Nothobranchius furzeri: one gene and its partner. The protein of the gene in region 1 interacts with the protein of each later gene in a biochemical or structural test. Links are inferred from orthologs where the notes say so. Each region holds a gene or a part of one and is shown on either strand. Other genes may lie near its edges. The genes, in order: parp2 and hpf1.

Region 1 (4,368 bases):
AACCAAAACTCTCAGATTAAGCTGAGTTCTAAGTTCTGATTACTTCAGGGAATTCCAGTGATATGTAGTTTGTCTGAGCTCTGAGAGAACCCTTTTCCTGATCTGATTCCTCAGCGCTTCCTCGTCAATATCTGCAAAGAGAAACATATTTATTGTCTCCAGGGGCTGCTACATGGATACATCGTTACTTGATCCCACCCTCGCTCACCTCCCATCTTCTGCATGGCTTTCTCCCAGAGTTCTTTCTCCAGACCCAATGCTTTCTGCCTCAGAGTCACGTCCTCAACCATCCGCTTTCGACTCCACAAGTAGTTTATGAGTTTGTGACAGCGATCAGTAAGCTGGGTCACCTGAGCTTCTACACAAAGAAAAAACAAACATGTGGGAAAATTGTCAGTTTTATTTATTATTATTATTATTATTATTATTATTATGGCAGCTAGAGTTGATGACAGCTGATCTCACTTTGAATGACTGACTGTGCAGCAACTTGGAGCTCCTGGGGTAGCCGAAGTGTATTCAGGCTGGTCATACCAGGATGTTTCCTGTGGGGTTCTCCTTTAAGGAAATCTGCTTTGGGCTGTGGGTTAGCAGCAGCACTCACAGTCTGGAATAAATTATTATTACAAAGTGTCAGAATAGGAAAATGAAAAGCAGAGTGGCTGCATTATATGACTTTGTTAGAGTACATAATCGACATATAAAAATATGTGTATGAGGTACATGTTTGTTTGCATATAAATAATTCCAAAAATATACAAAAAATTTATGTAAGGTGTGAAGAAAGCACAGTCTTAGCAAAATATTAAGCAGTACTAGAGAAAAGAAAAATACAGGAAAACAAGGAAATAAGGACATTAGGATAAAAATACTAGTCACTGCAAAACTGTGGAAAGAAATATGAAAACAAATAATTTTATGTAATATTCAAACCGGGCTACTTTTCTACAAACTGACATGTCATTTACAGACCATAAATGTACACAAAACATAAATGACCTCCAGTGAAAATGATGCACTCAAAGACACCTGGTGGAGTACTTACCCTGAACAAAATCTTCACCACAGCCACTCTCTGACTGAGACCACAGGCTTTATAGCTACTTGATGCCATGTTCTCGGTGTCTAAACGGCACTGAAATATTGGTAAACATTTACTTTCATCCACGCTATTGTAAAGCACACCGACCGACTGATTTGCATCAACAAAATAATTCCGGCCACCACTGAAAGTGGAACCATCGAGCCTTAAAGATTTGTTCCTACACGAGGGAAACAAGAAGAGTTCTTTCTCTGATCTTGTTTACAGATACTGGCTAACATTCGGAAACAAATAGCACATAAAAGAAGGATTAGATTAAAAATGTTTGTTTTACCACATATACATCATTAGAAAAATCATTATTTGGTTGTAAACAGATGTATATTGCTGCGTTGCTAACTTCTGTATTCATCGCTAGTTAGTTACGAAGTGCGGCATCTTTTTAATAAACCATCTTCGGTAGGCTTTGCTCTCTACAGGCCTATCCGAAGAAAAGAAAGTTCCCGCCGTGTTTTCTACTGCTTCTCGATTTCTGCTTTTCCTGCTGTTAAATAAACTTGTTTTGATACACAAACATGAGGCGAACCAGAAGTTCGAGAAATAAAAGCCAGCGCGCACAAGAAAACCACGAAGTCCCGTCAAAAACAGGTTGGTGTTTGCTTTTAGCACATCATGGAAGGAAGCAGTGTAGCCATTAAACATGCCCGGACAGAGAATTAGGTTTTATTTTCATCTTCACAATTCTTTGGTAACTATGTCCTGCACTACCTATTACTTATATTTGACAACATTTGTGTTTTAACTAATTGAATCAAAACTTGGCGCGAAAACTGGTGAAAAGCACGAATATTAAGCAGTTCTGGAGGAAATCACTAGAATAAAGTGACTCACTGCTACATTTAATTAATTTAGTAATAACTAAAGCCTCGTTTGAGTGTAGAAAAACAATATAATGGCTCTGCAAAGTCCAGTTGATTAACACATCTTTGTTTAAAAAGTAGTAAAAAGAAACTACATAATTACATTTAATGAATGAAATCAACTCAGGGCAGAAATTTGATGTTTAGAAATTGATTCATGTTTTATAAAGTCATATCAGTATTTTATAGTTCATAAAAGGTCTGTTGTGGAATATTATTTTCAGTTTTTCCTATAATGCAGCACTTAAACAACTGTTTTACTGTTTTCTGGCTCTGTTTGTGATCACAGTGTGGCAGTGGAAAGGAGATGAAGGACAGTGGGAATCGTACCCGCCTACAGCCTGTGCCTTGCTTGATTCAGCCATTTCTTCAGGGAGGACATCCGTCACTCTGACTCTTGGCTCGGGGGCAGCATATGAAGTGGATTTGAAGAAGATGGTCCAGATTAACCCTGTGACGAAATACAAGAGAAAAATCCGCTCCAAGACTGTAAAAACAGGTGTTTTTTATTTATAGAAATCAATTCAGACTGAAGATGGCAAGACACATTATTTGTTGATCGTACATTTGTTTTTTGTTGTTTGTTTTATAAGAGAGTTTACAGGAAGCTGATGATGAGGCTGCTCATAACACAGAATTCATTCAGGTAAAAGAGGAAGAGGAGGAGAATGAGGAGCAGCCTACCGCTAAGAGGAGAAGAGGTCAAAGCAAGAGTGCAGCAAAAACCGAAGAGATGCCAAAAGAGGAAGGTAAGATTAATATAGTTTTGTTAGCATCAAAGTAAGTAAATAAACAAAAATGATAAAAAGAAAAGGTAATCTTGGCATCACTTTTCCATGTTACCTTTATGTTTATGCTGATCAGAGGTGGTGAGGACAGTGGTGATGAAGGGCAAAGCTCCAGTGGACCCTGAATGCAAAGCTAAACTTGGAAAGGTACATTTACAGAAATGAAACCTGCGATTGTGGTTTGACACCCATTTGAAACTAAAACCCCAGACACGGTTTCGTTTGTGAGCTCTTGTTTGAGCAGGTTAATCGTTTTATCATGCAAAAGCAAAATCTTTCATTAGAAATGAAAACATTTTATTTATGAGTCCATTCAGTCAAACATGCTTCTCTTTCAGGCTCATGTTTACAGTGAAGGAGCTGATGTTTATGACGTGATGCTAAACCAGGTAAAATATGTAACAGCATTTATTCATCATACATCATTCTAGAGAATACATAGGCATTGATTGTAGTTTTTATAAATATTTGTCATTTGAAGCAGTGATAAAAATCTTTCTTTTGCAGACGAATCTGCAGTTTAACAACAATAAATATTATCTGATCCAGCTTCTGGAGGACGACAGCTCCAAAGGTTACAGCGTGTGGATGCGATGGGGCAGAGGTGAGGTTGATGTCTGCAGATTTCCGTTAACACCATCGACATAAATATACTGGACAATTCATTTCCATAGGCTCCAATATCACGTTTTTGAGGCCAAATGGGAGGTGGCCACCACCGCCATTTTAACTGTCACAGGTTCCGTCAAGCCCAGACAATTCCATAAAAGGGAAGAGAGGTGGAGCTGAGGGTGGGGCTGTAAGGCTGGGATCAACTGACGACACCCGGTCGAATTAGCCACAAGCTAACCTGAAGCTAACCCAAAGCTAATGCGGAGGTGGGAGCTAAGCTAACGGAGGTAGCAACCTAGCTACAACCGGAGTTAACTGTGCACAACACCAGAGCTTCTGAGTCAGAGATACGCCGGGCTGACCGCTGGGTAAAACTGGGTGGAACACAGAGGTCTTGGAGAGCTCCACAAGCCGGCAGCCGCACAGCAGACAAGTGCCGCTGCGATCTGAGATGCGCAGAGCTGCCACTGGGGAGAATAGGGTGGAAAGGTTTCCATCCCAGAGCTCCACAAGCCGGCAGCCCGTGCAGCAGACAGAAGCCGCGATCAGACAGAGATGCGTTGAGCTGCGGGGAGGGGAGAACGAGTGGAAAACATCGGTCTCCCGAGAGCTCCACAAGCCGATAGTCGGAACCCAGCTCCACCAACATGTTATATTTCAACCCATTTTCTAAAGTGCAGCATTATGTTAAATGCACTGGGTTTTACCCCTATTGCATTTAAATTTCATGGTTAAACAGTACATGTTAAAATCTAAGCTCAGCTCGGCAGTGACCTAAAATACATAAATACAATTTTACTTACCGAAATAAATGAAGTGGAGACTCCTTGGACGCTCTATTAGTGCAGTTAATACCACAGCAAGTCATTTTGTCCAACAGTTGCACAAATAATATCCAAAACAGAATACACAAACACAGAGACTCAAAATCCTGGAGCAGTTTCCAAGCCAGACCTAGGCTCTACTGAGGCCTTTCCCCGGAGCTAGCTCTGTGGTCACGTGGGTC
Region 2 (4,482 bases), on another chromosome or scaffold:
ATGAAGGTGGTCCCATTTTCGCGGCGCTTCCGCGGCCGGTGTGTCCCCGGCGTTAGGGTTATGGGGGAAAAGCCTTAGAAAAACCTCTGTGGACTCCCCAGTCTAACTCTGCAGTTTACACCTCATTTCATTCTGCTTTTTATTTTAAAAACAAACAAAATAAGAAAAGTCTAGCTAAAATTATTAACTAATAATGGTAATATTATAGTTTCCCTAAGATCTAGCCAGCAATGTCCAAGAAATAATTAAATGTACTGAAACTAAATCCACTGGCAACAGGACAGTAAGCAACACACAAACACAGATCTAAGAAGTCCTGCAGCGACCTCGGCAGGTGAGTGCTTTGTCCTATCGTGGGTGAACTTTACCTTCTTGTCCCTCTGCTTCATACTTTTGGTCTTCGCCTCTAAAGACAAGCCTAAAGTCACAACCCTTTCTTTCAGCTTTGCCTCCAAGCTTTCCAAAGCGTCTCCTCCTGCGCCGTTACTGCTCCTCTCCTTCTTCTTCCTCTGCAGAAACAGGCTGACGGAGAAGAGATCAGAGACATCAACGGTCGGTTAGAGAGAGGAATGAACACCAAAAGCGGAGACAGAAAGTGCAAAAACTAAGAAATATTTCAAATAACCTGTAAAAAAGTCGCAATCCTCTTCTATAACCTGTTTTAATTGTTGACTAACTTTAATGAGAAAAACAACTAATGGTTGAGACTCACTAGACAGCTGCAAATATGTTATCCCCCATTTGTGCTATGGTGTAGCCCTTCTTGGCTTCATTTTCCCCAACAAACGAAGGAAGGGAGTCATCCGTGTCCCTGGAATATAAATAAATAAATAAATAAACAGTAACTCGTGATCTGTTGTCCCAGTTTTAGGCTCTCCCATCGATTCAGCTCAAAGCTGAAAAGTGGCGACGCTACCTGTAGTAGCCCATGTGATGCTGGGTGTCCTCGCTCCCCTTCAGGATGGTCTGAAACTCGGGGGGGTCGTAGAAGTACCGACAGTGCAGGTGGAAGTTAGGCTGAAGATTCTTGGAGATTCTGTGAGCTCCCGCCAGAACATCAAATGGACCAACCAGCACCAAGCCCAGCGTGTCTTTGAGCGCTCCTGCACAGGTTTACACAACAGAAGCACGCACATACTGGAAAGGTTAGAAACCCTTACATCAGCATAAAATAAATAACTCAACAACAATATGATGGACTCCGTGGAAAATGACGTCACCTAAAAGTCAAACAACATTAAAACACACATTTTCTGCAGGATAACCCTCTAAGACAGCCTCCAAATGCCCCACTAGAAACAGTTCACCGTGCTTTCATTACATTTAGCCTCTTGCACCAACTAAGGACTGCTGAAGAGGAGTGTTTAAGGCCTAGTCCACACGTAGCCGGTTTTTTAAAAATGAATATCCGCCCCTCCAAAAACTTGCATCCACACCACCGCGTTTTAAAGAAAACTCTGTCCACACGTACCCGGATAAATACGTTAAGGACATGCCAGACCTGTAGGCGGCAGTACTTCCCCCGTTCTTAACCTCGTCCTTCGTCTGTGTTCTTCCGCAAGGAGCAGTAATTCCGCTTGCAAAAACAAACAAGCAAAAAGCGCTTGGACAATTGATAAAGTGAGCGCGGCTCTGAGGGCATCCATGCTGTCGGCTAGTGTAAACACAGGTCGCACACGTGATGTCAGCATTTTTTTGTCGTGGAAAGTGACGTTGCGGACCTTAAAACTCCGGTTTTGTCTGTCCACACGCAGACACCCAAAACGGAGAAAACGCAGATCTTCACTTTGGCCGGAGTTTTTAAAAAGATCCGTTTTCGTGTGAAAAAACTCAGTTTTCGTGTGGATGACAGGCCAAAACATAGAAAAATATCTACGTTTTGGCAGATCCCCGGCTACGAGTGGACAGGGCCTAAATCCCAGTTGCAGCTTTAGTCCCATCAGTGGTGAGAGCAGTCAGGACGTACCACAGGGGTTGTCGGGACAAAGCTCCTTGCAGAAATCCCAGAAGTGGAACAGATCTTCTGGCATTTGTAAACCGTACAGCCGGGTCAACTCATCCCGCTGCTCTGGATTCCTTTCTGACAGCAGCACAGGTGTGGACTCATCAGTCCGGACCCTCTTCACCTCTCCATTGGCTGAATCCGACCCCTAATGAATCAGAGGAAGAAAAGAAAAATTACAAGTTTTAGTTTGTGGACCCAGGTTACACCATTGTCACTCCTGTCTCAGCCTGTTGCTGCTCTCTGATTATTAATTATATTAAAGTTTAACACCCTCCTGTTTCCTATGGCCTCCATAGTCACGGTTTGTTTTATTACACAGGTGCACCAGTGGGCGTCCTGCGTCCCCAACACCTAAGGTGTTTTATGCAGGTTGAACATTATTATAGTAGCTGAACAGAGGTAGCCGTGAGACCATCTAAAGCTCAGCTTTTATGGATAAAACACACATGCACAAGTTATCCTGCAGGGCACGCGACAGGTGACCCATCTCAAACGCTCCAGATGCGAACGCACGTGTCAGAAATGCGAAGCGGACACGATTAGACTGGAAACACAGTTTAGCAGAGAAGCAGCTGCTGCCATGTTGTCTGGAAGCGCCGCCGCTCACTCAGCTCCAGCGGTTCAGCCCGATGGTCTCACACAGATGTACCCGGAAAACAGCGACACCAGACAGAAGTCTGCGTTTGCCCCGGAGAGCCCGACTTCTCACCTGACACGTTCAGCGCAGGAAGCTTATCGGAGGAGGAGAAATTACCTGAATAGCTTTGGGTTTTCTTTTTGCGCGCCCTGTCATTTTCTTCCTCTCGTCTCGTCTTCTTCTTCTGCAGATTGAAGACAGTGGTAGAGGGTTCACCGTGACGTCGTGCGTCAGTGCCCCCGTGAGGCGTGGCGGTGTAAACATCATCAATTTTACACCTAAAGACACACACACACACACACACACACACACACACACACACACACACACACACAAATATATATATATATATATATATATATATATATATATATATATATATATATATATATAAATATAAGAAAATAAAAATAAAAAACAATAACAGTTAGTTTTAATAATTAAAATCATCCAATGAAAGGGAAAATACACATTTCTATGAATTAAGTTTTAAGTTGACTCAGCTGTTTAATTTAGACAATAAAAAAATGAATGCAGTCTCATTTTAAAGCGTGGCTGGCCCCACCACGCTCCATTCTCATTAAATGTCTCCCTCTGCTGGTCGCCCCCCCACCCTTCACCACCTGCAGTGGGTGGAGCCACCAGTGACAGCTGTGCTGTGATAGGCTTCTCCTAGAGGAGGCTGCCATGACACACGGTGGATGCTGCACAGAACAACATCCTCAGCATCAGCAATCCAGCGCTCCTGCATCCTCCTCCTCACTGTCCCTCTCTCTCTCTTTTCCTCCTCCTTTTTGCCTCTCCTCCTCGTACCACCACCCTTGCTGTCTCTTTTCTCCTGCTCGTTCTCCCTTCCCTTCGGCGGACACACACTCACACACGTCGAGGCCCTGCTTGAGCACACTGCAGCAGAGGGACGTGTACGAACACCAGCAGCAGGATCAGCAGCAGCGGGTGGACTGGTAGGTGAGCTGTGGCCTGAACCCCCCCCCTCCCCTTCTTCCTGCAGCACAAGCAAGACAGCGCGTTCTCCTCTGATCTCTGTCAAGGACTATCTATCTGAGAAGTGTGTGTGTTTGTGTGTGAGGGAGACAGAGGGCTGGGAGGACTACCACACCCTGGGATCATTTACAACCTCCGGCACAGCAGAATGAATGTTTGATGTTTTTATATAATCTTTGCTCCATCCTTCTCTTCTCGCTGAATGCATGCAGTTCCCCTCGGATGGATCTGTTTTCTGTGTCTGCTTGTGATGTTTGGTTTCCTGTTTTAATTCCACAGTACATGAATTCATTCAAGCACATGTTAGCAAGAGCACTGAACATGCAACCATTTAGGAAGTTAACTAACTACATCTTTCATGTTTTCCTTTCCAAAACCCTCTTCAACATCAGGCCATCCACCCCTCTCCTCCACCTTCTCGATTCAATCCTGTTTATCTCTTTCCTCCCTCTTCCTTACACAACTTCTACTCCTCCCAGCTGGTCGCTTTTCCCAGGATGCCTTGCCTCAGGCCACTACGGTAGGCCCCAGCAGCATGGGCGGAGCCTGGGTGGGACGAGATATCAAAGATTGGACCCTTCCTCTTAGGACGGGTGTGGTGGCGGGTCACCTACCTTCAGCTTCAGATGGGCGAGGACGCTGAAAACCCCAAAATCAACCACACCTTCCTGCGAGACTACGTCACTGAAGGTGAGTTGGGTTCACCTCTAGGGTCGGATTAGAGTGACTGAAAAAGGAAACTTGGTTTTATTTTTTATTCTGACAAACTCTGATCTTATTTTGCATCTTTAAATTCTCAGGCTGAAGATAGAAATGTGGTTAGGAGCTTTAGAAATAA

What was found.
Region 2: the proteins of parp2 (region 1) and hpf1 form a complex in vitro, tested with the Homo sapiens proteins (2 studies listed by BioGRID). The link is inferred for Nothobranchius furzeri from reciprocal best matches to the Homo sapiens genes PARP2 and HPF1.

What each region holds. Positions count from the first base shown.
Region 1 is NC_091751.1:41,154,827-41,159,194, forward strand, and holds the start of parp2 (poly [ADP-ribose] polymerase 2), read left to right. Parts: upstream 1-1,482; 5' UTR 1,483-1,617; coding exon 1,618-1,690; intron 1,691-2,251; coding exon 2,252-2,461; intron 2,462-2,555; coding exon 2,556-2,711; intron 2,712-2,826; coding exon 2,827-2,897; intron 2,898-3,088; coding exon 3,089-3,139; intron 3,140-3,257; coding exon 3,258-3,354; intron 3,355-4,368. Other genes in the region: mettl17 (ribosome assembly protein METTL17, mitochondrial), read right to left, coding at 44-131, 209-358, 466-607, 1,046-1,114. UniProt on the Homo sapiens protein: Poly-ADP-ribosyltransferase that mediates poly-ADP-ribosylation of proteins and plays a key role in DNA repair.
Region 2 is NC_091747.1:78,435,380-78,439,861, reverse strand, and holds the start of hpf1 (histone PARylation factor 1), read right to left. Parts: upstream 2,913-4,482; 5' UTR 2,910-2,912; coding exon 2,760-2,909; intron 2,151-2,759; coding exon 1,967-2,150; intron 1,104-1,966; coding exon 917-1,103; intron 812-916; coding exon 713-811; intron 523-712; coding exon 369-522; intron 1-368. Other genes in the region: ppp2r2ca (protein phosphatase 2, regulatory subunit B, gamma a), read left to right, coding at 4,271-4,334. UniProt on the Homo sapiens protein: Cofactor for serine ADP-ribosylation that confers serine specificity on PARP1 and PARP2 and plays a key role in DNA damage response.